Linked DNA regions of Pelodiscus sinensis. The protein of the gene in region 1 purifies or fractionates together with the protein of each later gene. This does not show direct contact. Links are inferred from orthologs where the notes say so. Each region holds a gene or a part of one and is shown on either strand. Other genes may lie near its edges. The genes, in order: SAAL1 and SLC27A2.

Region 1 (11,850 bases):
AACAAGCAAAAAGTTGCTCAATTTGAAGTTAGCAGGTTTATGTAAATTATTTCCTGTTTGCTCTCTAAGATAAAGCCTCCAATAAATACTGGACCATTTTTCCTTTTGAGAATCCATCAGAACTCTGCATTTCAGGGACTATGCAGTACAGCAGTGGTAAGTTTGGTTGTAAGAGGAAATTTCATATTTGTACCACTTTGCCTTGTTTTAATTCTGTTTCTGTCTTCGAACAAGAGCTGTTTATGGTGTAAAACTGTTAAGCGGAAATTCAAACTTCTAGATTTATGTGTTGTCTCCCTGCCTGGTGCTGTGATTGCAGAGGGGATTTAATTTTTTCTGTGTAAAAACGATCACTTTGGTAATGCTTCAGAATTGCGTGTGATCCTTTTGATACATGTAGCTGTTCCACAGTATTTATAAGAGCAATGAGCATTATGGCTGGAGTCTTTAAAATATGGCCTGGTTTTCTGACACCTACTTTTCCTATATTACAGCCTAAATAAGTGAAGAATGAAGTTCTGCAACTGCATGCTGTTACTGTCTCTGGTACTGTGTGTCAGTGCCCAGAACTGGTTCACTAATGCTGGAGCATTCATAAGGGATGCTTATCGAGGTATGCTTTTACTAACTGTATGTTCTTCTTCAGAAGTGTCCTCAAAACTTATGTGCAGCAGGATGATGCAGTTCTCTTTCATATCCTCCTCCAAAGATGTCATGTGTTGCAATCTACAGTTAATAAAATAACATACATGGCTGCAAATCCCTGTATTTGTAATAGGAGTCGTGTGTGCCAAGGAAAGCTGGGGAAAATTTTTGGGGAGGGGATACCAAATTCATTAAAAAATATAATTTGCAAAAAGTTTTAGTAGTGCCCATAAATTTAGGTGAAATTTGGCAAATCGTTTTTGTTGAAAAAACACGTCACAACTAATAATTTTCACAATGAACAATTCTTACATTTTGCTGCAGAAATGTCTATTCAAGTCAACCTGAACATTTTTTATGTTTTTCATTTTGATGCGGGAAACCCTAACAATTCTGCATTGGTTTGAAACTAAACCATCTTTTGGGGACTTCTCAGATCTTCCACTGAACCAAAAACTCTAGTGTTTGCTCAGGGGTATAGAGGAGACTTTCTGGCTTCTCTGGAATCACTGTACTTGAAGTTATCATTATGAAGTGACTAGAATGGTGCTTAGCTACCTCAGAGGCAGGTGCATGGAATAACCTCACAGATTTTATACTTACAGTCCCCTGTAATCCTCTCTCTCTTGTCCAGGTGCCGGGGATATGTGGCGTGCTTACGATGACATGCGGGAGGCAAACTATAAAAATGCAGACAAATATTTCCATGCTCGTGGGAATTATGATGCTGCCCAAAGAGGACCTGGTGGTGCATGGGCAGCAAAAGTTATAAGGTAATTGATTCTACTTGGATTATGAGTTAAAAGTCAGTAGAGACCTGTGTAATCCAAGACCTATGAAGTACACTGCAATTCATAAATAGTTGTTATCCTGTTTGAAGCAACTACCTTTTTATTTAGCATCTGAATTGGGTAAATATGAAGACAGTTTCTGAGCTGACCAACTGTTATATAGATCACTTCACTGTGTATAGGGAGGCCCATGTTTACACCACAGGGCTTTTAAAATTTAAAAAGCTGCAAAACCTCTCTTTCAGAACCAGTATTTGTTGCCCTTGCTATTTCATGCACGGACACAATGATCATAAGGTCATTTAATGAGGATTGTTTGTGAATGTTGCTGTTGAACATGATGGTGATGATACAAAGGTGCTTATGACGGGTGGGTAAAACTTAATGGAGGCAAGTAATGGGAAGGCTTTTGAACTACTGCACTTCTGGTATGACCTCTGCTATTCAGAGACAGGTTAAGGTAGAGGTGTGTGTATGAGAGAGAGTGAGTGAGAAGGAATATGAGCTAATATCTTTTGGTGGTGTTTTTGTGTGTCCTCAGTTTTATAGAAATGTAGGGATTAAACTGGTGGTGAGGAAGAAAAGTAAATAATTTAGTTATTGTGATTTAATTAAAAACTGTCTAAGATAATCTTTTTTCCTCTTTCCAGTGATGCCAGGGAAGGTTGGCAGGGTGGCATTAGTGGCAGAGGAGCAGAAGACACCCGTCAAGACCAGGAGGCAAATGCCTGGGGTAGAAATGGAGGAGACCCAAACCGCTACAGACCAAAGGGCCTTCCCTCGAAATACTAATGCAGCCCATAATAGTTAACAGTAGTTCTATTGTACCAACTGTGCAAAGAACCCACAATAAATAAAATCTTAAAATTCTGACGCTCTCGGTTACATGAGAAGAGATAATAAAACAATATACGACATTATCTTGGTGAGTCAGAGGAAAAGGAAACCCTTAATTGCACCAGGTGTGGAAGAAAATTCCAGATTATTTAATTCTTATCCATAACTCGATTTCTTGCCTTTTCCTTTGAAGCAGTGGGTACTGGCCAGTATTTTTCATGGGGTTGGGAACCCGGTTTCATTTTAATGAGCAGTAATAATGTTTGTGTTTTAAACATATAGGCTATGTCTACACTGGCCCCTTTTTCGAAAGGGGCATGCTAATTTTAAACTTCGGAATAGGGAAATCCGCGGGGGATTTAAATATCCCCCGCGGGAATTAAATAAAGATGTCCGCCGCTTTTTTCCGGCTTGGGGAAAAGCCGGAAAAAAGCGTCTAGACTGGCCCGATCCTCCGGAATAAAGCCCTATTCCGGAGGATCTCTTATTCCTACTTCGAAGGAAAATTAGCATGCCCCTTTCGAAAAAGGGGCCAGTGTAGACGTAGCCATATTGTCGTCAGATAGGTATAATCTCTGTTCCATCAGAGGTCAGGCTAGAAAGGCTGGATTATAGGCATAGCTCCCATTGTGTGAGAGCAAGAGTGAGTGAAAATAGCTAGTGACAGGCAGGGCAGAACTAAGTACAGGACTAGTTGATGTACATCAATAAAAACTTGGAAGCGTAGGAGGATTCAAAAGGATCAATGCTCATAACTTGAAATTAAAAAGAAAGAAAAGGAAAGGAGAAACAACACCATATCAAAATGAATATGCGGTTTGTGGGTATGAACAGAAGTAATAGGGGAGGGATAAAGTAAAATGTTTGGGGACCACTGATCTAAGATATGGGCCTCAACACAGATTCGCTTAGATTTCCTCCAGCTTTATTTCTCTGTCGTTTTTGGTACTTGTGTGAAGCTGAGGGTCTGTGTTTGCTGTCTACTTCATAGGTGATCAAACCCACTCCACTTGAAACCTTTGGAACTCTGCAATTTGAACTCACAGAGATTCTCCCAGCACATGTCCCATTCTTCCCTTTAGTAATAGTTTAAAATGTTCTGTTTCACAACTGTTTTCCACTTCTGTTTGGCTACGTCTACACTGGCATTATTTTCCGGAAATGCTTTTAACGGAAAAGTTTTCCGTTAAATGCATTTTTGGAAAATCACGTCTAGATTTTTGCAGAAAAGCGTCCTGCCAATCTAGATGAACTTTTCTGCAAAATAACCCCGATCGCCATTTTCACGATCGGGGTTTTTTTGCGGAAAACAAATCTCTGCTGTCTACACTAGCCCTTTTGCGCAAAAGTGTTTCGGAAAAAGACTTTTGCCTGAACGGGAGCAGCATAGTATTTCCGCAACACAACACAAAATTTCAAAATAAAGCCCTATTCCAAAAATCTCTTAACCCTTGTGGAAGGATGGTTACAGGGATGCTGGAATAGCATGGAATAACATCAGTAGGTTAATTACTTTAACTGATCTGTTCTTTCCTACACCTCAAAAAATTAGGTGGGTTGGAGTGGGTGTCTGGATGTGGCCGGGCTGAGGGGGTGCTGTGGGGTGGCTGAGGAGTTGTCTGTAGGTGACCTCAAGGGGCGCTGTCGGGCGGCAGAGGCGTTGTGTGTCTGGGGGGGGCTGCAGGGAGCGCTGTGGGGTACCGGAGGTGCTGTGTGTCTGTGGAGGAGCGCTGTGGGGAAGCAGAGGTGCTGTGTGCCTGTGTGTGTGTGTGTGTGTGGGAGGAGGGGGCCTGCAAGGAACGCCATAGGCTGTAGGGGGCGCTGTGGAGCGGCGGAGGCGCAGTGTGTCGGGGTAGGGGAGGGCTGCAAGGAACGCTAGAGGCTGTAGGGGGCGCTGTGGGGCGGCGGAGGCGCAGTGTGTCGGGGGCCTGCAAGGAACGCTAGAGGCTGTAGGGGCGCTGTGGGGCGGCGGAGGCGCAGTGTGTCGAGGGCCTGCAAGGAACGCTAGAGGCTGTAGGGGGCGCTGTGGGGCGGCGGAGGCGTAGTGTGTTGGGGGCCTGCAAGGAACGCTAGAGGCTGTACGGGGCGCTGTGGGGCGGCGGAGGCGCAGTGTGTCGAGGGCCTGCAAGGAACGCTAGAGGCTGTAGGGGGCGCTGTGGGGCGGCGGAGGCGCAGTGTGTCGAGGGCCTGCAAGGAACGCTAGAGGCTGTAGGGGGCGCTGTGGGGCGGCGGAGGCGCAGTGTGTCGGGGGCCTGCAAGGAACGCTAGAGGCTGTAGGGGGCGCTGTGGGGCGGCGGAGGCGCAATGTGTCGAGGGCCTGCAAGGAACGCTAGAGGCTGTAGGGGGCGCTGTGGGGCGGCGGAGGCGCAGTGTGTCGAGGGCCTGCAAGGAACGCTAGAGGCTGTAGGGGGCGCTGTGGGGCGGCGGAGGCGCAGTGTGTCGGGGGCCTGCAAGGAACGCTAGAGGCTGTACGGGGCGCTGTGGGGCGGCGGAGGCGCAGTGTGTCGGGGGCCTGCAAGGAACGCTAGAGGCTGTACGGGGCGCTGTGGGGCGACGGAGGCGCAGTGTGTCGGGGGCCTGCAAGGAACGCTAGAGGCTGTAGGGGGCGCTGTGGGGCGGCGGAGGCGCAGTGTGTCGGGGGCCTGCAAGGAACGCTAGAGGCTGTAGGGGGCGCTGTGGGGCGGCGGAGGCGCAGTGTGTCGGGGGCCTGCAAGGAACGCTAGAGGCTGTAGGGGGCGCTGTGGAGCGGCGGAGGCGCAGTGTGTCGGGGGGAGGGGAGGGCTGCAAGGAACGCTAGAGGCTGTAGGGGGCGCTGTGGGGCGACGGAGGCGCAGTGTGTCGGGGGCCTGCAAGGAACGCTAGAGGCTGTAGGGGGCGCTGTGGGGCGGCGGAGGCGCAGTGTGTCGGGGGGAGGGGAGGGCTGCAAGGAACGCTAGAGGCTCTAGGGGGCGCTATGGGGCGGCGGAGGCGCAGTGTGTCGGGGGCCTGCAAGGAACGCTAGAGGCTGTAGGGGGCGCTGTGGGGCAGCGGAGGCGCAGTGTGTCGGGGGCCTGCAAGGAACGCTAGAGGCTCTAGGGGGCGCTGTGGAGCGGCGGAGGCGCAGTGTGTCGGGGGGAGGGGAGGGCTGCAAGGAACGCTAGAGGCTGTAGGGGGCGCTGTGGGGCGGCGGAGGCGCAGTGTGTCGGGGGGAGGGGAGGGCTGCAAGGAACGCTAGAGGCTGTAGGGGGCGCTGTGGGGCGGCGGAGGCGCGCGCTGCCGGTCTCTCTCTGGCGGGCTGCCGGGCAGGGTTGTTGTTGCCGGGGCGGCGGGGAGCCGGTGCTAGGTGAACCCCGTGGGCGGGAGGCGGCCGTTCGCGGGTCCTGCGTTGTTCCCGGAGGGGCGGCGGGAGCGGGCCGGGTCCGGCTCCTTGTATCCCTCCGCACCGTGCCCCTGTCCCTGCCCTGCCCGAGCGGCGGCGGCTGGGCGGGGGAGCCGGTGCCCGGGAGGGGGGGGCGAGTCGAGGCGGGCGGGGGGCGGCTGGCAGCGCTTGCCTGGGCTCACTCCGTGCCCATCGTGGTGTGGACACAAGCCGGATTGCGGGGCAGCCTCGGCCCAGCGCGGTGTCTGCGCCATGGACCGGAATCCTTCGCCCCCTTCCAGCGACGCGGAGGAGGAGGCGGGCGCGGGGGATTGCATCGGGGGCACCGTCTACAGCAAGCACTGGCTGTTCAGCGTCCTCACTAAGCTCATCCAGGTGCGTGACACGCGGGGGGTGGGAGCGGCTGCGCCCGGCGAGAGCTGCGGCAAAGGGCAGCAGGGAGCGATTGAAGAGCCGGCAGGGAGCCGGGTTGCCATAGGACGGTACCTGTAAGAATTTGTCAGTTACTGTCCCTGCTGGGGATAAGTCCCACCCATCGGCCTGGGGACTCTCTTAGGTACTGAGCTCCTGCTGTGGGAAGCATAGGGCCTGCGGGGTGGGCAGTGGGTGTGGTAACATGGAGAGAAAATGACCTCCGTGCGTGGCCAGGATTTTACCTGTTCCCTGTTATAAGGGAGGCTGAAGAGCCATTTAAACTAAAGGACAATGTTGGGGCTAGAATAAGCAGGTGTAAACAGTCCATGAACAAATGCAGGCTGGAAAGGAGAAGAATGTTTCTAGTCATCAGAGGGGTAGGAACAGCCTCCCTAGGAGTTGTGAGGTTTGGGCACCAACTCAGTGTTAGGAGAATGCTGGGTAAATGTCTGGGTGTCAGTGTCTGACAGGGTTGATTGTGATGGGGGGGGGGTGTATTCTGGGAGCGATTTTCTTTTTTAATTGCCTTCCTCTGAAGGGATAGCTGGGGCTAGAGATAGAAATGTGCATATAGGAGAAGCCAGGACTCTTAGGTGGCATCAAACCAGTGCTTTCTTGTTACCAAAAAAAAAAAAAAAAAAGTGCCGGTACTCCAGAGGAAAAGTTGTTGAGCTCTGACTGGAGGTGCCAATATGGTGTCTGGAGGTGCCCAGGTACTGCATCCTGGGCAGTATCATCACAAAAAAGCACTGCACCAAACATTCTCTCTCTCAGGTGCTTGACTGGCGGGTTCCTGCTCACACGCTCAGGCTATGTCTATACTGCAAGCCTCTTATGTAAGAGCAAATGCAAATGGAGTGCTCAAAAAAATGAGGAAGAACAGCTCTTGCGCAAAAGGGGGTTTTTATGCAAAAAGGAGCCATCTCCACAGCGCTTTTTTTGCGCAAAAGGGAAAGGAAGAGGAAATGCAAATGAGTGCTCCATTTACATTTGCTTTTCTGCAAGACGCTTGCAGTATAAACATAGACACAGGATCTAATCAATTGCTGTATGTGGGGTCAGGTAGGAGTATCCCCCCCCCCCCGGTTTAAATTGGCAATGGCTTTGGGAGATTTTTGCCTTCCTCAGCAGCGTGTGGGTTACTTGCCTGGATTATAGTGCATAATCTCACATAATGGATTATATCCCTCCCATGGTAGGGGAGGAGGGGGAGGCAGGGAAAAGGGGTGTATATCTCAGGCACTGATGCACCTCAGTGTTTCCTATTCTCCGTTTCACATAATAGTCCAGTCTCTTGTGGACTGTACAATTTTTGTCTCATTTTGGTTGTTGGGGGTTACTGTCCAGGTGTTGGGTGACGCGGGTGTACTATGAGACATGGGAGGTCAGACTAGATGATCTGTCTGTCTCTTCTGACCTGAAACTCTGTGACTGATTTGTTCTCACTACAGCTTTAGTCCTTTGTAGCTCACCAGACATGTCTAATATCATTCTATGATGAAATAACTTTAATATGGCTAGGTCAGTACACACAATTGTGTAATATCTCTGAAAAGGAAGCAATACTAGGAACTTTTCAAGAGAGGCTCTCACATCCTCTAACAAATGTTAATTAAACTTCTTGGCAATCTCTCAGATAGGTACAGTAAGTGTTTTTGTCCCTGGTTTTTAGATGGGGAAATTGTGGTGCAGCCTGCATATCATTCAAGGAAAGTATTTTCTGCCTAAGAAGATTCATTTAGAAAATGCTTAAAAATGAGCAGTACAGTTTTGGAAGATCTAAATAGAGTAGGTTGCAGGTGACATCTACCTTTGGATAACTAAAACAATAGATTGTCTTGAAAAATTAATTATTTCTTCACTGTCTCTTATTATTGCACCATTTCTTTTACTTCATTTGATAGGTCATTAGCCCTGAAAAGAATGACTCCAACTTGAACAGTGAAGAAGTGAAGACAGAACTAGATGAAGAAATGGAGAATGACGTTTGTAAAATGTGGGACATGTCAATGGACGAGGTATGTTGGTGAGCAGCCTTTAACAATGTGCAGAATACAATTTTAAAACTGAGAAATTTCCCTGCAGTGGAAATTTAATTTCCTCAAAGAAGAGTATAGATAGCATTAGTTAGTAGAAGACCTAGAAACAAACATTCTCTGCTATTTTCCCAACTTGAACGGTTTTGCTCCTTTATTTTAGCTGGCATTTATCTGGTGAGGGTCCCCTAAACTGAGTGTGCCTGAAAAGTTGACAAAAAAGATGTTTCAACCCCATCTACCTGTCACGAGGCTTTTTCAGGTATCAGGCTGTGAATAGCAAGCTTTTTTTCAGGCACTCTAAAGCAAACACTCTGAGGGAAGACCATCAGTTGGACACAGGCAGATGGGTCCCAGGAAGAGAAGGGGTTGAAGTTGCATGAGTGCTAAAATTCAGTATTTGCTGCAGTCAAAATAGTACAAGTATATGCACTGACCTGTGTGTGCAAGAAAGAAACCAATGGATTTTATTATGATGTACAGAAAGCAATGCAAGAAGTTTGAAGACAAGATATGTTATAATGTTGGGAATCTTTCATGTGAAAGTGGGATTGAACTGGATTTCTGGACTGGAGCAATAGGCAGATTCAAACTCAGTGAAGAAAGCAAAAGAGGGAGAGAGGCTACTAAATTTCTGCCTCTGTAACAACTGGGTGAGAATTAACATACTTTTCCAACAAAGAAAGCTGATGAAGGAATGGAATTGGTTAACATTTGATGGGCAAAGGAAGAATACAGTAGGCTTTGTACTTGTGAAGTACAGGTGGGAATCAGTTGTGTTGTCATGCAGATCACTTGTGGCAGATATTGGATCAATTCATATATTAGTGTTGGCATTGGGGTTAAGAACTGAAAACATGCTAGGAACTAAAATCTCTGACAAATTAAGGAGCAATGTTTGAAGAAAACACAAACTGCAGAAAAACGTCACATTTCTCGTAAAAAAAAATAAAAGTAGTAAACATTGAAATGACATAGAACATTGGGTTTAAAAAAAGAGCAATAGTAAAAAATGAGAAACAAGTAGTATTGAAAGATAAGAGAACTGTACAGGACATATGAGTTGAAGATATCAATAGTGAAAGACAAGCGGAACAAACAATTGAGGATGAAAACAAAGCATAAAGGAGGAAGAGACTATTTTGAAGAGCAGTACAGAGCTCAGACTATAGTATATAAAATGGTCCTTGAAAAGTTTTTCTGTACAGATGAAGGAGAATGGAAGCAAGATTTCTGAGAAGCAAAGATTTCACTAAAAAGTCTGAAAAATGAAAAAGTGCTGGAAAGTGGTAAAACATCTTCAGAGCAGTTAAAAGTAGATGAGGAACAGATGTTAAAAGCAATGTACAACTATTTGACAGAGAGAAGAATGAGTGTAAAAACTATAAAGGAATCAGTTTACTGAGTGTGTACAGAAAAGCACTTATCAGGGCCTTGGAGAGGAGAATGAAATGGTACATAAAGCAGGCCAGATTTAAACCAGGAATGGAATATTAAGTCAGCTATTTGTGATGAGACAGATATCAGAGAAACGGAACACAACCAAATTTGTTATAACAACTTTAGAGACTTAAAACAGTCTTTTGATAGCATTTAGCAGAAGTTGATGGAAAAATTCAGGATAACCGTAGGCATGAGACAAGTATGGGTACTTCAGTTGATTTGGTCAACTTGGTACTGGAAGCAATATGGATTAGCACTGAGAGATAAGATGACTCATTTCATGTGGGAGGATTAAATTCTGGGAGAGGATATTGATTTCATAGCATTGTCAGGTAAACTCGGAAATCAGGAAATTTGCTTTGAATATCAGCATGAGGAAGGCAAAGCTATAACAACTGGAAGTTGAGAGAAAAGGTCAAGCTCAAAGGTATATACAATCATGTGTGTCTCTTTTTCTTTTGTCAATGATTGTAATTGACAAGTCTGCAAGGGTTAGTAGATAACTCATATGTCCTAGAGAATTTGACAAATGTTTGACCTAGCCTGATTCCACAAGAGAAACATTTGATTTATATGTGGAAATTATATTTTAAAAAGGAAATAGATGCCTAATTAACACATTTTCTCCACAGGATGTTGCATTATTTCTCCAAGAATTTAATGCCCCTGATATATTTATGGGAGTGTTTGCCAAATCTAAGTGTCCTCGACTTATTGTAAGTATAGGTTAATGTAAAGTGCTGTCTGTTTAATAGTAGTAACCGTCCTGAGTATACAATTGCAAAATATCCTCCTCTTTTCCCTTTCTCCTTCCTTTGTTTTTTATTTGTATCCGATTTGAATGGTAAGATAGAGGAGGGTAGCTTATAAAATATACTACATCCGGTACTTTCAGTTTTCTTTCTGCTTATTGGTCTATGATCAGTGCTTAGAAAATGTTACAGATATTGAATGTAGGTATTTGTTCTGGTCTTTCAAAGTGCTATTGGTCTTAATGGATTATCAGATATCAATACAAAATTCTATCATTCTTGTCCCTGCCACCGCTTTTCAGATTCCATGTGATTTTAGTAGTCTGTTACCACATAATTCAACTACAGATAGTAATTACGATTAGGAATTCCAAAAGTGCTCAGTGTTGTCTTCACTCCCAATGAAGAGTTAAAACTAATACTAATACTTTTGAAAATCTCATTCTTTAAGCTGGATTCAAAATTCTTTGATCATATACTGCCATGAGATTGGCTTCTCTCCTTAGTAAATTAACACATACTGCCATGAGATTGGCTTCTCTCCTTAGTAAATTGACAAAGTAACTACTAAAACTGAGGTGTAATTTAAAGGTATTTTTAAAAGACTAGAGTAAAAAATGACTCTCTCTCAACCTTTTGATCTGCCAGGGCTAGAATCCAAGCTTTACATTTCTGGAGATTTGAGATTTCCAGGTTTCTGGTGACATTTGTTATTCGAACTGGTTATTCACAAGATACTTTGGAGCCCTTGATCTCTGTGTGGAGCAGTACATACTTTTGGTCATAGTCCAGGAGTGAATATAGTCTTTTGGTGGTATCGCATTTTGTTTTTAAAAAAATACTACAGTCAGAAATTGAGGTTTTTTGCGTGCTTAATAAAGATCCTTTCTTTTGTCAGGAGGGGAATGTGTCACGGGATTCCATTTGTGTGCTGAGTTCTTTGCACACTTATACTATTTTTAAGGTGTGGAATTCAGCTAAGCTCCAAATAGATTTGCACAACATACCATATATGCTTGTTCATAAGATGACTTATTTTTGGGAGAAAAAAATCCCACTGTGAAGAGTGGGGGTCGATTTATGAACGGGTTTCTTCCACATCTTGGGAAGCATCGTGGGCTGAAGGACTTGCTGGCTGCCAGCCTGGAGCCTCTCAGATGAGTTGAGCTCAGGTCCCATTGGCTGCTGTTTGCTGTTTACAGCCAATGGGAGCTGAGGCGCTCTGTGCTGGCAGTCAGCAAGTCCTTCAGCCTGCATTGCATCCTGTGGCTCAGCACAGAGCCTCTCAGCTCCCATTGGCTGGGAACAGCAGCCAGTGGGAGCTGAGAGGCTTCATGACTGCAGCCTGCACGTCCCTCAGCCAATGCAGACCCTGACAAGCTAAAATTGGAAGGTCTGTACTCTGGAGTTGGCTTCTAAATGAGTCAGTGACTTTTTACCATTTTTTCTTTGTAAATTTGGGGGGGGGTCGGTTTATAAACGAATGGGTTTATATTCAAATATATGCAGTATGTATTTGTCTGTCTTAACTAACAAAACCAGGGAAGCTTGTTAAAATGTATGTTCATTTTTAA
Region 2 (12,219 bases), on another chromosome or scaffold:
TTGTGGGCTGGCCCTAGGTGCCAGACATTTTTTATCGCAATGTACACATACCTCAAGAGACCAATGGGCTAGGGATCCTATTTCCAAAAATGCTCACTCTTTTGGAAGTACCCATTTCTGAGCTGCCCAGCTTGAGACACGTAAGTGTTCTTGGAGGGAGAGCGAGGCAAAAATCCATTTTTCGCTTTCTTCCTCATAGGAAAAAAATGTAAAACAGGTAGGTATGTGAGTTATTCTACATTGTTCTACATGCAAGAGAGTTTGGGGTGAACTTGAGAATATACTGGAAAAACTTAAATAACAATGAATAGTCCAGCAGCACCTTAAAGACTAACAAAACATGTAGATAGTATCGTGAGCTTTCGTGGGCACAACCCACTTCCTCATGATACCAGCTACATGTTTTGTTAGTCGTTAGGTGCTGCTAGACTACGGGTTGTTTTTTAAGTTTTTCCAGTTACAGACTAACTCGGCTACCCCTCTGAAACTTGAGAATATACTGTCTTTAAACTCAGGAGTCCTTATATATAATTCTATTTTAGCATTCTTCCTGTTAATATTTCTTCTGTATTATAGTGTTCCTGGACCTGAGCAGGAAGCCAATATTCAGGGGCTTGCCAGGCTGTTTCCTTCAAGAGAAGAAACTACTGATATGAGTTAAGTACTTCTTTGGTGCGATCCTGTTTATTTACAAAGAATATACACAACGTCCAATTTCCCCAGACACAGTACAACATAGTAGAAAGAAACAATATCAAACACACAATTCCATACCTGCCTCTCCAGTGCAGCCTGTGCCCCAAGAAGTCGCCCCCTCTCTGCACTCTCTCAGGTCCATACTCAAAAGTGCTTCCCTCACTCTCCGATGGCTTTTTGCTTCTAACAGGCACACAGTTGCCAAACAGTTCCGACCCCTGGTTTGCAAGCAGGCCTCAGACCACATGGCTTCTGCTTTGCTATGTGCCTGATTACCTGGAACCCTTCTCCTGGCTGCCTTTTCCAAAATGACGTGTACACCAGATACTGCTTCATTTCACATTTTAGAGTGAAAAACCATTAGCAACCGCGACCAGTTTTTGCAATAGAAAGTGAGTTTTACGAGGATAAAGAGGGCCTCAAACTGCTTCCCACGCAGCAGCTGGGAAAATGGAAGATGTCATTAGCTCAATCTTATGCTTTAACCACCAATGATTCTCTATCTACAGTCTCTGGGATTTCCTGAGAATCAGACAGTAAACTCAAAATGTCTCATGCACTGAGCTGTTATTTACCAGTATTCCCAACAAAAATAGACGAGACTGTAGACTTAGGTTTTTGTCCAGGGTAACCAGAATGGGAGCTACCTCAGATAGCTTATCTAAGGCTATGTCTACACTGCAGCGGAGGCATCCTGAAACAGCAAGCACATTATTTCAAAATATAACGGGTTCACTATTCTGATGCCTCTGTAAACCTCATTCCACGAGGAGTAAGGGACATTTTGGAATAGCAATTTATTTTGAAATAAGTACTGTGTAGACAGCACCAAATTTCGAAATAAGCTATTTTGAAATAGACTTGAAATAAACTACGCAATATGTTTCGTAGCTTACTACGCGTAGCTTATTTTGAGCTATGGGTGCAGTGTAGACATACCCTGAGGCTACATCTACATTGCAGGCTTTTTGCGCAAGAACAGCCATTCTTGTGCAAAAACTTGTGGAGTGTCTACACTGCACGTGTGTAACCCTTCTGCCAGGCCGAGTAAATAGCAGCAGCAAGGGCCGGGTTCAGTATCTAGGGGTCTCCTCCCAACGGGTTCAGTATCTAGGGGTCTCCTCCCAATACAACACCGGCTCGAGCCCCCACCCAGTGACCTGGGAAATCTTACATACACCTCTGGGTGCCTCAAAAGAGGCATTTCTTCCCCTCTCGCAAGCACAGAGCCTCAGTATAGTAGCAAACCTTTAATAACATGAGGTAACCGACATCTGCATTAAATTGGGGAAACACCACAACTCGGATTTACCCACCAAACAATGAGCAAAGGCCCTCCCCCCAGCCACAAATCTCCCCAACTCCCCCCAGCCACAAATCTCCCCAACGTCCCAAAAGTCCAACACCCCAAAAATCTCAGCCCTGGGTCAGTGCCGTCCCAGGGTTCAAAAGTCCACCCGGCAGGGTTTCACCATCCCAACCTGGAGGGGTGGGGATCGATGCACCTTACGTGGCCCGGCGGTGGCTCCGCCTCTCCATGCCGCCGCCGTCAACGCAAGTCACTCCGCCACACTCCACTTGTCGTCAGGTGAGCCGCCTCCACTGTCCGGCTCCGCAAAGCCGCCAACCGTCTCGGTCCATGCTCCGGGCTGCCAGCTGGTTGCTCCTGCTGTTGCTCCGCCGGCTGCCGCTCCTACCAGCCGCAGGCCACCCCCGTCAGCGGCTTCGCTGTCTGCCCTCAGGTTGCCCCACCAGCTGCATCTACTGTCCGCCTGCGCTTGCTGGTTGCCCCTTGCAAACTGCTCTGCTAGCAGCACAGCGCCAGGCTCCCCTCAGCAACAGTGATTTCAGCTCTCATCCGCAGCACAGCACACAGTGATTTCAGCTCATAACAGAGGAACCTTAGCACTGGCCCACAGCAAAGTTAGCTCCACAGTTCACAACTAGACTTCTAATGGAATCTAAATTAACTCTGATATTTCACAGTGGAGGGAGTACAATCAGTGTTGTTTAGGCCCTCAAACAGGATCCCACCACCAGGTACCAAGACCTGTCCCCAACCTCTCTCAATTTGACTGGGTTTGGAACCCATGCCCCTTGTCTAGCGAGTGCTACTTAGTTTATGGCGAATCCCTCTGTCATAAACAGTTCCACCATTCCATTGTCCTTGATTCGCATAATCAGGGTAACAACACTTTTATCCCCTCTGCCTCAATAACAGAGAGACTGGGGCTCCCACAGTGGCCAAAGTGACGATTTGGGCTGCTGTGGCACATACTAGACAGGGTTGGTGTGTCTATGCAAATTGGGCTCAGCCCCTGAAGTCTCTTTGCACCACTTGCCACAGTTCGCCACTAGATGTCAGGATAGAGTTTACCCTGACCCTGCTTACACGTGCGTTCTTGCACAAGTAAATTTACAGTACAGCATCAGAACAGAGGGCTTCTTGTGCTAGAAGGCAGCGTGGATGGGCAACAGGGGTTTCTTGCGCAAGAAATCACGATGGCTAAAATGGCCATCAGAGCTTTCTTGCACAAGAGGGTGTCCACACTGCCATAGATGCTCTTGCACAAAAGCACATCTCTTGCGCAAAAGCATGTCAGTGTGGACATGCTCTTGTGCAAGACCTTTTGTGCAAGAACTCTTGCGCAAGCCAGTTCTTGTGCAAGGAGCCTGCAGTGTAGACATAGCCTAAGAGTTTACCTACATGTGGAAATTGAGAGGGATGGCTATTCCAGAATAGTGGTAGCACTGAATATTCTTAGCCTTCCTATTCTGGACAACCCCTTACAGACAAGCCTTTACTGTCATCCCATTTGTTTTCATCTGCTTTAAAGTTGTACAGAAGTTCCCACTGCTGTCCCATTCTGAGGCTTATTGCAGCTACTTTTCCAGAGACAGCCACTGTTAGCAACTAAGATAAGATTTGCTCCGACAGATGTAGACTGAGTAGAGTCAGCAACTTGTAGGCTTAGTGGTGGGTAAAATTCACCCCTATGCAGAGGACAAGCACAATGTCTATGCACCACTTAAATCCCATGTGAGCCTTATTTTGAGAGCTTACTCAGGTTTAACTGGTGCATAAACCTTGTGCTAATTCTCTGGACTGCTGTTCCCTGACTGGGTGCAGCACAGAGTTCTGTCCTAGGCAATTAATCGATATATATCTTCAATGGTATGCACTGAGCAACTGTCTGGAAAATCCCCGCCCCAAATCCCACACAATGGGTTTTTTTTGGTATAATCCCAACACACTATAATGTAGGAAGGGGGACTAAGAAAATAGGTCTGGATTTTCCTTGACACAAAAGCAGCTCCAGAAATTGTTGCTTGTGGCAGTCTGGTCCTGCACTCCTGTAACTTTCTGTGGTTATGTGGGGAGCTTTTTGGTGGATTGGCCAATAAATGAGCTGATGGGCACTGGCAACTTTCTAGACAGCTGATGATTATTCTCTGTACAGTGCACAGCTAACGGGCTGCCTGTGCATGGGAGTGACTAGCATGGTGGCACTTCCAACATACCTGTGCAGAACCCTACCACAGTGCTGACACTAGCACCCTTGACTCTAGGGCAGAGCTAACTACAACACTTGGCTATGCTTCAGGAGTGGCCAGACACGTTGTGAGAGCAGTTCACAGACTGTACAAATGTGTAGTCCCTAGCACTTTTCCTTTGGGGTTGTCGTCATCATCATCATCAACAACCATAGTTGGCATGTGCATGAGAGACAGCTCCAAAAGCAAGCATATTTTCAAATGACAGTACTGGAGCAATTCAGAATACACATTCACATCCCTGAACCCTTTACTCTGTAAGTGTACTGAAAGACAAAATCCCTTCTCTGTTCCTTCCCTTTGCCTTCCCCTGCAGCCTCTCACTAACATTTTTATCAACTTTCTGCTAAGTGCTGCCAACCTGATCTCCTTACACCAATGCAAATCAGCAGCAATGCCTGGAATGAATGGAGTAACACAGGTGCAACTCTGGTCCTGATTATGACACTGCAGCAAATCAAGAGTGATGCTAATTAAGTCAGTGGGGTTGCACATCAGTAACTAAAGTCTCAAAATTCCACTGGTCTCTACCATGTATCTTCCCAGGCATAGCAAGAGCAATCCCAGAGTGCACCCAGCTCAGCAGCCAAAGAAAGACCCCTGGGCTAGTCACCCAGAATGCCATGTATGCCAAGCCCGGTGACATCTACACAATAATGTGAATGGAAACAGGGACATAGCTATCCTGTGCACACACTATTGCTGCAGCTGATGTCCTATAGTGGGGTGGCCAACCCATTACAGACAAAGCCAAAATGGTGGTGGATACAGCGCAGAAAGCCAAGGGAAAGAAGTTGTTGAGCAAAAAAAAAAAAAAAAAAAAAGCCTGTTGCCCCTTTAAAAGCAGCATGTGGCCCAAGCAGGCTTCCGTTGGCTGCAGCATCAGCTCTTGCTGCCCTGAGTGATGCTCTGCCCAGACAAAGAAAAAAAGGTCGGCGCAGGGGACCATGAGAAGAGCCGCAGGTGCAGGAGACACAATTTTTCCTTTAAAGAATTTCATGGTGCTAGTGAGCTGGCCATCTCTGTCCTTTAGCCTAGATAGCGTGCATCTGCTCACTGTCCCAGAAATTCCCCCTACAGACAAGTCCTCATTGTCTGCCTAGAATTTCCCATGGGCCTTATTTTCACTGTCATTTCTTCAAGGGTCAGTACTTATGCTTTGCCCTTGATGATGAAATACGAGGAACCCATATTTTTACCTGATTTGTGAGTTTTTCCACAAATTTCAGAAGAGATTTATATTAAGTCTCCAGTCCCCTTTCCCTTTAGGTCATGGGAAATTGCTAGAGATATCAGTGGAAGCAAGATGGGAGCTCAGGTCTCTTTGTGAGTTGGTTCATTCCATACTGTGCACCTGTGTGCTGGGTGGGGTGTCACTCCGGATAGCTATACCTACACTTGAAAAGGAAACTAAGCAGTGGTCCTGTAGCATCTTAGATAAACAAATATCTATATCCCATCATGAACTCTTAAGGTGCGACAGAAGTACTGGTTGTTTTTAAAGTTACAGACTAACACAGCTACCCCTTTGATACTTGAAAAGGGAAAGCAGCATTTGCCCTGAAGAGAAATCAGTTTGACCGCGGCCATAATCCCCCAAACTTTGGGACTCGGCTCAGTGGGCCAGAGAAGCGGCTGCCCGCTGTACCACACAATGCCATTATCACCACTGAAATCAGACAGACCGCTGTTTCCATCCATGGGAACTAAGCGTTCTTGTCCTGTGCACAGGGATGGCCTATCCATATAGGTGAACTAGGCGGTCACCTAGGGCACCAAGTTAAATGGGGCGCCAAATAGTGGTGCAATATCATTGAGGGTTTGGAAGTGGTGGCCCCGATTGCATGGTTTGCCTAGGGCACGAGTTGCTGGCAGCTAGTCTAGGGCTGCCCCTGCCTGTGCGCACTGGTGCCAGGGGAGTGGTGTGAGAGGTGCCCACTCCACCGCCCGTCCCTGCCGCAAGGCATCTGTAACCGGGTGGGGCCCTGTTCTCCCAGGGAAATCGGAGAGGAACTCGGGGCTGCTACTGCCCCTCCTGCTTTCTCTGAGACCCCCTCACTCCCCAGGCCCCTGGCCTGCCACTGCGGTTGCGGGGAGCGAGGTGCCGCTCGGTAGGCGAGCCGGAGCCCGGGAACACGCTGGTTGAGGGGAGGGGGAGTTGGTATCCCCACAGCGCGCTGGCCAGCGGGGGCAAAGGGCTCTCCCGCTCCAGCAAAGGCGCTTTCCCGAGCTCTCCCCACGCCCCGCTTTGGCAAACCGAGGCGCTGGCTCCGCTGCCACCAGCCCCAGGGGGCCGGTACCTGACTCCTCCCGGAGACGACTCCTGCCCCCGCCCCTGCTCCCTCTGACCCCACCCCCGCTGGGGCACCGCTGGGGAGGAGCGACTGAGCCCGCCCCTGGCCAGCCGGGAGCCGAGCAGCGGGCGCCGCGCCGCGTTCCGCCAGCCTAGCGCGCTCCGTGCGCCCCGCGTCCCCTGAGCTAGGCACTAGCCGGCCCGGACCATGTTCTCCTGGCTCTACTCCGCGCTCCTGCCGCTGCTGCTCCTGCCGCTGCTCATGAACCTCTCCTGCCCCTACTTCTTCCGCGACCTCTGCTTCTTCCTCAAGTTGGCCCGGGTGTCGCGACGGACGCGCAGCTACGCGGCGCGGGACCCGGTGCACAGCATCCTGGAGGTGTTTTTGCAGCGGGCGCGCCAGGCGCCGCGCAAGCCCTTTGTGCTGTTCGAAGAGGAGACGCACACGTACGAGCAGGTGGACAAGCGGAGCAGCCAGGTAGCCCGGGCGCTGCGCGAACAGGCCGGGCTACAGCCAGGGGACTGCCTCGCCCTCTTCATGGGCAACGAGCCTGCCTACCTCTGGATCTGGCTGGGCTTGGCCAAGCTGGGCTGCGCCATGGCCTGCCTCAACAGCAACATCAGGGCCCAGTCCTTGCTGCACTGCTTCCGCTGCAGCGGGGCCAAGGTGCTGCTGGCAGCCCCAGGTGAGACCCTCCAGCGCCTAGGCTGACAGGTGGCTCAGCCCGCAGCTGCCCGCGGTGGGGCGATAAGGGGCGTGGCTGGCCCCAGCCGCCCACCCATAGGGCCACACATTCTGCTCATCCATATCTGCTCAGGCAGGGAGCTCACCTGCCCTGCAGCTTTCTGAGTGGGGAGTAGGGGCAAGGCCGGATTAAGGCATGGGCTAGCCGTGCAGCTGCCCGGGGCTCCAACCTATGGGGGGGCACCTGATGGCAGCTGTAAGGGACGCACAATGCCCCTTATAGCTGCCATCAGGCGCTGTGTGCCCGGCTCCCAGATCGCGGGCTGCAGCAGCTCCCAGCGGCCATCCTGCAGCGGCTGGGCTGGGCTGCTGGGCTGGGCTGGGCTGGGCACATGCGTCCTGCCACCGCCAGCTCCATGTGCCCTCCCCCACATGCCGGGTGGGGGTGGGGCCGCACATGCACCCTCCCCCAACCTGGGGCGCAATTAAACTGTCTGCCCAGGGTTCCGGAATAGCTTGGTCCGGCCCTGAGTAGGGGACAGTCCCCCAGGGACAGCCTTAACCCAGAAGTGGAGATGAGGGTAGCCCAGGATATGGGACAATCCCCAGCAGTGTTGCCTGTAAGCTGGGTGCTTGTGAAGTTGCTCAGGAAAGATTCACATGCCACCTAGCTGGTTAGCAGGGCACCCACAGCTGGCTTTTTTGTTTCTGTTGGTGGTGCACATGCTTGATGCACACAAAACATTTATTCTGCACATGGATGGAAAACATGGATGGACACACTGGTCCCCAGGAGGTGGGAGGTACCCCAGAAAGGGGGACAGTCCCAAGGGGTGGTGAGTGGCTGGAGGAGGAGGGTTGTTCCTTTAACATTTACAGTGCTTTCTGCTACAACTTCATTGTGAAGAGTTGGTCTCTCCAGCTTCTGTAATTTGGAACAACAAACAGTGAAGAAACAGGAGGTTGGTGCAGGACAAAGGTAACTGGATCAAAAGTCAGTGAATTAGTAAACTGAGTCTTCTGTAAGGGTTATTGGCTGCCCTGTTTCAACTCTGCTCCCACTGCTTTGGGGAGGCCTGGCAAAGGAGATGCCTTGGCCACAAGGGGTTTTTTTCTGGGGGTGGGGATGGATTATGCCAATACGTAGCAAGTGCTGACATACAAGATACAATCAGTGAGGCCCTAGTCCTACCCATGTGCATGATTAACTTTACTCTCTGTGAGTACCCCTATTAACATCAAATTTAGGGCCTTAAACTTTAATCCTGAAATTGACCCTGTCTAGGTGTTCCCCCTGCACGTAGCCCCATGAACATTAGAGGGGCTCCAAGTGGGCAAAGTGGGGCAGTATCTAGATGAAATAGAATTGCAGGATCTGTGCCATAGTGCGGAAGGGTTTTGTCAAATAGCTAAGCCTGGGATGTTGCACTGAAACATACATGTGCTTTTTGAGATATGGATGTGATAGTCTCTCATACTAGCCAGTGACCCAAGGCAGCCTGGGGGAGAGACCAGCAGGGGGCAGTAGCAGGGATCACACACCCCCTGCACTCACCATGGCAGCAGGAACTGGAGCAACCTGGCAGCCTGTTCCACTCCGCTCCACCCATCTCTCAGCCTGCTGTGCTCCACTTCTCTGCATTGGCAGGAAACAGAGCGCCCCAGCCCCAGTCTGCTTCTCCGAGCCCTGCAGCAGGCTGGGGCCAGGGCTGGGGGTTTGTGGCAAGGAGGGCAGCAGGGCGGGAGATGGGTGGGAGAGCAGAGTGGAGCAGGCTGGATGGTCCATCAGCCCCATGCCAGGCCTCTCAGGTAATCCCACTGCTCACACCGCTGGGGGAGGGGAGGTACAAGAAAGGGCAAAGCAGAGGCAGGAAGAGGTGGGTGGAGATGGAGCAGAGGTTGGGCAGGGCACAGCCTGCAGTGGAGGGGTCGTCCCTGGTTCCATGCCTTGGATACTGAGGTGGGTGGTTGCCCAGGGCCCCGCAACTCTCTAGGGATGGCCCTGGTGTGAGAGACAAGAGGTCAAAGTAGATGCTCACAGTGGTGCCTTCTAGCCTTAGAATCTATGAATGTTCTCAACTCATTGGCTACGTCTAGACTGGCCACAAATTCCGGAAAAGGGATGCAAATCAGGTAAGTCAGCATAGGGAAATCCGCGGGGGATTTAAATATCCCCCGCGGGATTTAAATAAACATGTCCACCGCTTTTTTTCCGACTTGGGGAAAAGCCGGAAAAAAAGCGTCTAGAGTGGCGCGATCCTCCGGAATAAAGCCCTTTTCCGGAGGATCTCTTATTCCTACTTCAAAGGATTTCCCTATGCTGACTTACCTGATTTGCATCCCTTTTCCGGAATTTATGGCCAGTCTAGACGTAGCCATTGACAATGTATTTTCATTAGGGCTGTCAAGCCATTAAAAAATTTAAACATGATTAGTCGCATGCACCTCCCCTTTGAAACACCGCAGTCAACAGGGCAGCGCTGCATGGAGCACGGGATCAGCTGGAGTCCCCAGCTGACCCCGGGCTCCATGCAGTGCTGCCCCTTGGAAGCACTGCAGAGGCATTTCCAAGGGGCAATGCATTAGGAGTCTGGCATCACCTGGGGACTCCAGCTGATTCCCAGCTCCATGTTGCAAAGCACCTTTAAAGGGGCAGCACACTAGGAGCTGAGGATCAGCTGGAGTCCAAAACACCAAAACAGCATTTCAAGGGGGCAGTGCAGCATTAACGCCTGCAATTAACACGTTAATCCTGGACTGCGTTAATCGCAGGTGTTAACGCAGATCAATTGACAGCCCTAATTTTCATATCCAATGTGTATAATAAGGGGAACACACCAGAAAAAGATACTTTACTTAGGTAACAGGGCTTTCTCTACTAAACAGTAACATCTAAAAAGCTTTCCTTTTTGATCTGTGCAATGCAAGAAATAAAATAACCTTTATTACTACAAATTAATGAATTAATTTGCAATAGAGTGAACAGTTTACAGGTTCAAATAAAAAAATTAATGTCAAGGATACCTAGATAGTTTAAATAATGGGGAAATCATTGCTCTTTTGTTACAGGTGGACTGAAACTAGTCTGAGATTTTTTTAGCTGCATTATAAGACCCTGATCCCATAAAGACTTTGTTACATGTTTATACTTAAAAAAAGAAAAAAACAAAATGGAAAAACTGATAAACAAGGTCATTAGATAATGGAGCATTAGCTAACTAGTGCCTGTTAACTACCAATAATACTGAACTCTTACAGAGAGCTTTTTGTCAGTAGATCTCAGTGCACTTTACCTTGGAAGTAACAGTCATAAGTCCCTTTTTATAAATAGGAAAACAGAGGCACAGCACAATGAGGTGGCTTCCCATGGTAACCTAGCAGGTCATTAGCTGAGCCAGCAATAGAAGCCAGGTACTATGTGTCACAGATCCACTGCTTTATCCACTTGGTTACACTGCCTCTCTTTAGTCTAGCCCCATTTCTGCCAACTTTTGCAAACATGATATCAATGAGACTACTCACATGTATGAAGATAGAATATGTGCACTAATATTTGCAGGGAAAGGTCCTTTTCTATGCAGATGTTTAAATGTTCCTAAATTTTATGAGCTAAAAACAAACCTTTCCGAGTATAGCACACAAACTAAACCTTAGTGGGAATGAATTCCATACTGTATTTGAACTTTCAAAAGTAACCAATTTTTAAGTTTACACCATGAGGAAAAGCTAGTGTTTAGAACAAGAAAATATACTTTTCCAAAAAGTATTCAGCTTTGGGGAGAGACCAAACAAAGAATATTTCATCCCAAAATGAGAAAAAAAAATTGAAGATGAATGGTTGAAAATAGTTATTAATGAAATAATTTTTCCACCCTTAGCTATAGTAGACACTTCTGGCCGTTAAAATAATATAAGGAGAAGACAAAAAGACAGATTTCCCCTCTATTACACATTTACTTTTTCTTCCCTGATTTGAATTTTGACCTTTACTCTGCATTTTTGTGCTACCCTGGGTCAGGGTGACTATTGTTATTTATTTGCAAGGATACTTTGAACAGATTTCTGCAAAGGAGTATATTGATTCAGCTATAAACAGGAGTAGAGTGTATTGTGTTTACATATGTTGGGTGCCAGACTATGGCTCATTAGATCTAAATGTGGAAAGGTTCTAAATTAAACCTTTCATGGAGAATGGAGGTTCAGATTCCCCTTCCTGCCACCAAACCCAATTCTCCATGCAGCCCAAGGTCTGTGTAGAACAAATAGGGAGAGCAGGGGTGGCCAACCCATTTAACAAAGAGAGCCAAAACAGCAGCAGAAAAAATGTGAAGAGCTGCACCAGAATTGTCAAGCCAAAAAAAAAAAAAAAATCCCCCCCCCCCCAGAACAGAATAGTTGGGCAAAAACAAAAATTTTTTTTTTTAATTTTTTTAAAGGAGGCTACCACTTTAAGATGGCCACCATCTTGAGCACCATTTTTAAAACTCCTCAGCTCTGACCCAGTAAGCACAGGGAAGCCAGGGATGGGTGGGGCCGTTTGTGGGTGCAGGAGCGGCTTCATGAGCCACACTTTTGGGGGCCAAGAGCCGCATGAGGCTCAACCTGTGGGTTGGTCACGGCTGAAGTAGAGTGAGGGTGGGCAGGAACAGGAGAGACAAGCCACCTGAATGTGCATAGTTCTCCTTACAGTCCTGCAGAAGATGTCCAAAAAACTGAATACAGCCTGAAGCCATAGTAAACATTTTTAGTTTCCCTGCCTGAGGACCAGAGGAGGCCTAGGGGCGTGTCCTTGGCAATTCAGCTGCAATAGAGTGTTGCTGGCAGAAAACTAGGGGTGTTGCTGGGAGCTCCACTTGTGGCAGAGGTATTAAGTCTCCACATGGATGGGCCTAAGATCCGCCAGATATGGGGGCAGCTTTTGTTCCAAAGGAGGGGACAGTATCATTATAAACACCATTCACAAGAGCATTGACTGGCAACCACGCTAGAA

What was found.
Region 2: the proteins of SAAL1 (region 1) and SLC27A2 purify together in Homo sapiens (co-immunoprecipitation; 3 studies listed by BioGRID and IntAct, with this or other methods). This does not show direct contact. The link is inferred for Pelodiscus sinensis from reciprocal best matches to the Homo sapiens genes SAAL1 and SLC27A2.

Annotation. Positions count from the first base shown.
Region 1 is NC_134714.1:113,250,659-113,262,508, reverse strand, and holds the start of SAAL1 (protein SAAL1), read left to right. Parts: upstream 1-5,523; 5' UTR 5,524-5,883; coding exon 5,884-6,006; intron 6,007-7,949; coding exon 7,950-8,063; intron 8,064-10,156; coding exon 10,157-10,240; intron 10,241-11,850. UniProt on the Homo sapiens protein: Plays a role in promoting the proliferation of synovial fibroblasts in response to pro-inflammatory stimuli.
Region 2 is NC_134724.1:20,625,144-20,637,362, forward strand, and holds the start of SLC27A2 (long-chain fatty acid transport protein 2), read left to right. Parts: upstream 1-6,610; 5' UTR 6,611-6,752; coding exon 6,753-7,230; intron 7,231-12,219. UniProt on the Homo sapiens protein: Mediates the import of long-chain fatty acids (LCFA) into the cell by facilitating their transport across cell membranes, playing an important role in hepatic fatty acid uptake.